Kluyveromyces lactis: one gene and its partner. The protein of the gene in region 1 purifies or fractionates together with the protein of each later gene. This does not show direct contact. Links are inferred from orthologs where the notes say so. Each region holds a gene or a part of one and is shown in the gene's direction. Other genes may lie near its edges.

Region 1 (2,588 bases):
GAAATATGGGTTTCTATGGAAAAAAGGAGTCAAAGGCGCAGGGAATGCTATAGGTGATTGCTGTTTTTGCTGTTGCTGTTGCTGTTGCTGTTGTTCCTGGGTCTGACCCTGACCCTTATATGGAGACGAGCTACTCGCCTTGGCGAGTTGCGTCTCCAACCCAGAGCTATGCGAACGTGTATCTTCGTTGATCATCTGTAAAATGTATGAATGTATCTTGCCTTACAACTTGTAAGTTGTAACTAGTTTTCTAAAGCAAGTAACTAACTCACTTGACAAAGGCAATCTGCGATGAAGCAGCGAACAGATTAATACGTCCAACAATAACCACTCGGTATATATACATATATATAGTAATAATAATAATAATAACTATCTCAATCAAGAAGGTAATATAAAAAGCATCACCAGGCCACCTTTAAAAAGCGAAGACCAGATCGACATCGATAAAGAAATAAGAAAAAGAGATAAAAGGAAAAGAAATAAAACACGGCAAAGAAACCGACAATGAAACACGCGGAAGAGGAAGATTTCCAGTTCCAACCATGACTCTATCCTATCAACTGGACTGGGAAAAACCAATGAACAAGGCAGAGACAGAAGTAAAATGGCTGCATAGGTGAAAGGAGTGACACATAATGGAAAAAAGTAAAAAGAGAGTAAATGTGTTCAGGAGTGAATTATGATCGAGGTGCGAGTCTGGTGTTGAAGGAAAAGAAACGGGGGGAAATATCGAAGAGACTGTGCACCGGTTTCTGGGCAAAATACCCGGAAAAACCTTTCGTTTTGGATTTTCTTTTTTTCCGGCACCAAGTTGGAACAGAGAGGTACCCAACGAAATGGCGGAGGAAGAATCAAAGAAGGACCAAAGTTCACAAAAAGAAATACGAGAGAATGTTGCTACAGGGGAAAGGAACATTCACAGACATAGCCCGATCCGGTTTGTTCCGAGGTGCGGGTAACAACTTAGCGCAGCTAACTCTTTCTTTCTCTACGCTCGGTGTATGCTGTCAAAAAAGTGTGGCTCTTCTAGTCACGTGATTACTGTTATAACGCGCCCGCTTATGTTACCCGGATATATGTATATTTGCTATATTTGTATTTTCGCCACCGTTCAACGTTATTCCGGGTAACACAATGGGTATCTCTCTCATCGTCAAAAGATTTTCTCGTCACTTCTTCCACATTCAGACTGGAATTTAAAATAAAATCTGTATACCATCTTTTCACATACGTATCTATTAAATGATGCACTACTACTTGTTGCACGTATTATCGGAACTACTCTTTTTCAACTTTATATACTTACTGATTTATGTATGCCTTTTCTAATAATTAGTTAGTTAGTTGTCCTTTGTCCACTGGAATCTGCCGTCGATAAGCAATTCATAGTTAGAAGAGAAGTGCTCTTTCTTACCAAGCCAATCCCAGCTGTAACTCTCTAACCACCACCATGAATGCTCAAATCAGTAACCTAGTCATCATGTTGATCATGATGCAAGTATCTCGTCGTTTGGATATGGAGGATCCTTCGATCGTGTTGTACATCCGTATCGCTTATGTCGCTTCTGTTGCCATCACTTGGTCCATCTACCAATACGCTAGAGCTCAAATCGTTAAGAAGAACGATTTGGCCACTTTGAAATACGTGGCTCCAGCTAACCCATTGGGTGGTCAAACCGAGAAAAAATTGGAAGTCACTACCGTTCGTGATTACGATTTACAACAGATTGATTCTGCCATTAAATCCATCTACACTGGTTTGGCTATGATGGGTTTCATGCATTTGTACATGAAATACACCAACCCATTGTTCATGCAAACCATCTCACCAATCAAGTCCGCTTTGGAACATAACGAAGTTCAAATTCATTTGTTCGGAAAACCAGCTTCTGGTGATTTGAAGAGACCTTTCAAGACTCCATCTTTGTTCGGTGGTGCCGGTGGTGCCAGTGAACCAAAGACTGACAAGAAATCTATCGAAACTGCTGAAAAGGCTGGTAACGGTGGTGTCAAAGCTGAATAATCGGGACGCGCATCGTTGCGTTTTCCAATCATGTGTTTTCTTCATCCATCTCTCACCATTCTCTTATAAATAAACACGTATATATGTATATAAATGTACATGCGTGTATGTATACAACTATTAAGATACCTCAATAGGATGTTTTATCGTAGCTTTTGTTCAGTTTCTTTCGTGTTTAAGTGTTAAATTGTACACATAGACTTCGCACTTTATTTGAAAGAAACGTGAATATTATTCTATAAAGATCAGACCCAACCCTTAACTGTTACTGATCGAGCCGACCAGATCAATATCCTCCAAGCAAAATGGATGTCAGTGATGTAAAAATATTGATCCTTGGTGCCGGTGGTCTTGGATGTGAGATTGTCAAGACATTGGCGCTGTACGGTTTGCCAGAATTACATATTGTCGATATGGATACCATCGAATTGACCAATTTGAACCGTCAATTTCTATTCAGTACCCGTGATATTGGCAAACCAAAAGCGTCTGTAGCTGCAGAAGCTATCAATAGATTGCAAATACCTTGCAAGAATGGAGTTACAGGTTTTGTGCATGTGGT
Region 2 (2,500 bases), on another chromosome or scaffold:
TAGTACCACCCAGAGAAGAAATGGAGTTTTTGATCTTTGAAGCGTCGGCTTCTGGAACGCTGTCTTTGAATGTGATAATGAACGATTTGAATGTCATGATTGTTATGATTGGGGTTGTTTGCTTCTGGCTCAGAATGACCCCTTCTTTACCGAGACTATCAAATGTGGTTTATAGAAGAGAAAGTTACTGAGTCAAACAGATTTCATTTATAGAAGAGAAAGTTACTGAGTCAAACAGATTTCATTTATATAGCAACAAAGTATAGACTATAAAGAACAAAAGAAGTCAGGGACTGTGTAAGTGCAATCGCGTCAGTAAGGTATATTTTGGACGTTATAGGTATAAATAAATGAAACAAACAAAAGTATATACATAAATAAGAGTAAAATTGGTTGATTGTGATCTCTGAATTGTTTCTGCGAAATTGGGTCCTTAACGGTGAACTGCGGACATGCCATAGTTGTAAGGCAGTTTGTGAGCAGCAAGATCATATTTACATCGTTCAGTAATGTAGGTCAATTTCGTCGCCTTCTAGTCGGTCACTGAGCTCTTTGTTTAGGATATCCAGTAACTTCGTACCGTCTCTCAACGAAACCCACTCCTTTTGATAGTAATCGAATCGGTTGGGCCCAGACACCGGAGAAGCCAACCATATTTGTTTATTTGGGGGCTGCTTGTTGATTACATATGTACCAACGGAAGGAACTTCTATACTCATCACACCTTGTGACATCTCAACATCCTGCACGACTTCTGGATGATAATCACAGAGAATTTCGAGCTGATCCAGTAAGCTATCCATAAACTCATCAGAAATTTCGTGATACACTTCGATAGGCATATCCAGAATCTCTTCTGGGATAGTTTTCCCATCTGTTGATGCTGCTATACTGTTATGCATCCGCTGTACTGTAACAAAGGGTAGATTATGTTGATTCAAAATCCCGAGTTTTGACAACACAGGAGCCCTAGTTGGTGCAGTTCTTGCGAGACCTATGCTAGGTATCGCTTTGGTAACAATACTACGTCTGGAAATGACGCTTCTAATGACCCTGGAGCTATTTTTCACTAGCATTTATTCCTTATCTTCTAATTTCTTTCCTACTGTATCAATTCAATACTCCGAATAATTCCTTTGAACGTTGTCTGTTCCCGCAAGCCTCAAGGTAAATTTACTAATTCAAGCTAATAGCAACTAGGACTGATTCAGTTTTCGCACCTCAATATGTTGTATGCTGAACTCAACGTGATAGAGAATAACGTACCTAAACTGTGATTTCTCAACCTACTTCAACTGAAAAGGTCCTTCAAGTCTTTTAAGTTTATATCTAATTTCCACAATCTATATTGAAAAAAAAAGATCGATGAGCCGACACTCACACTATATGGCTAATGGCTATGCATACAAAGGGAAACAACTGTTTCTTAAGATATAATATCAACTTCTTGACGAAAAGTGCCAACTAGACGTCAGTACTGCCTTTCGCAATGAACCCATTTGTATATTTAATTGTGTTTCTTTTAGTGGTAGCTTTCGTTGTATTACTACCGCTAATTGGAGGAATTGGTTCATATTCAGTGGACAAGAAGACTACCAGACGCAGTGGTGATGCCAAAGATTCGGAAAAGGCTGGATCCCTTGCAAAATATGCAAAATTGAAGAAAGAGGATGCACCTGTGAAGTTTAAAGTTAGTTCATCACAAGAAGGTGAGGGATTTGGGACTCGGAAGTTCGAAATCGATGGGAAAACAGGGTTGAAGAAGCGTGTCATTGGTAAATACAATGAGGACGAAGCTGAATTTGATTATGATGTTGATGAGTTGATCGCGGAGGATTTAAGAGAGCAACAACAAGAGGAAGCTGCAAGGTATGCCCAGTATTTGGGTAAAGAAAATGAGACACAGGAAAATCTTGTGTGAGCCTTTTTGTTCTCACAAGTAAAGAGGTTTACGTACAGCGTTTCAAACTCCTCCAAAACTCTGATTGTAACATGCTATTATATTAGGGGATTTGTGATATTTATGTATCTATGTAACTAGATGCGTGAAATTGCAAAATAAAATTCAATGAGTTACTTGATCAACAGCAGGTTCACCTTCAATCTCTACGTTGAATTCATTCTCGTATTCAGTATCGTCTTTCATCTTCCCTGTTTCTGTATCATAATCGTACTCGTAGAACAACATGAAAACACCGGGGGTAGAAAGCACTTCTTGTTCGTCGACAATGTAAACACTTTCGTCACTAATTCTCCACCAGCAACCACGGAACCTTCTAAATGCAATGTAATGACCATAGTTATGAGTACCATAATGTACAATAACAGATCTTAAAACATATGTCAAAGGCCCGGCAGGAACGCTGGACACAATTGGTTGTGTAGGAGGAAGCGGAGGTGTTGGCAAGGAGTCATCTGATTCTTCTTCGGAGTTTTCCTCGTCTTCTTCAGCTTCGTCTTCTTCATAAGCTTCATCCTCATCATCATCTTCAGGATCATC

What was found. The genes of interacting proteins can lie anywhere in the genome.
Region 2: the proteins of SND3 (region 1) and EXP1 purify together in Saccharomyces cerevisiae (affinity purification with mass spectrometry; 3 studies listed by BioGRID). This does not show direct contact. The link is inferred for Kluyveromyces lactis from reciprocal best matches to the Saccharomyces cerevisiae genes SND3 and EXP1.

The regions. Positions count from the first base shown.
Region 1 is NC_006038.1:832,021-834,608, reverse strand, and holds SND3 (Snd3p), read left to right. Parts: upstream 1-1,453; coding exon 1,454-2,026; downstream 2,027-2,588. Other genes in the region: glucose-induced degradation complex subunit VID24, read right to left, coding at 1-195; NEDD8-activating protein UBA3, read left to right, coding at 2,332-2,588. UniProt on the Saccharomyces cerevisiae protein: Functions in the SND pathway, a SRP (signal recognition particle) and GET (guided entry of tail-anchored proteins) independent pathway for targeting a broad range of substrate proteins to the endoplasmic reticulum.
Region 2 is NC_006041.1:786,872-789,371, reverse strand, and holds EXP1 (Exp1p), read left to right. Parts: upstream 1-1,489; coding exon 1,490-1,921; downstream 1,922-2,500. Other genes in the region: PBI2 (Pbi2p), read right to left, coding at 1-97; YFH1 (ferroxidase), read right to left, coding at 504-1,076; ubiquitin-specific protease UBP1, read right to left, coding at 2,066-2,500. UniProt on the Saccharomyces cerevisiae protein: Specific cargo receptor protein for the plasma membrane ATPase PMA1 that acts with PSG1 to promote the transport and maturation of PMA1.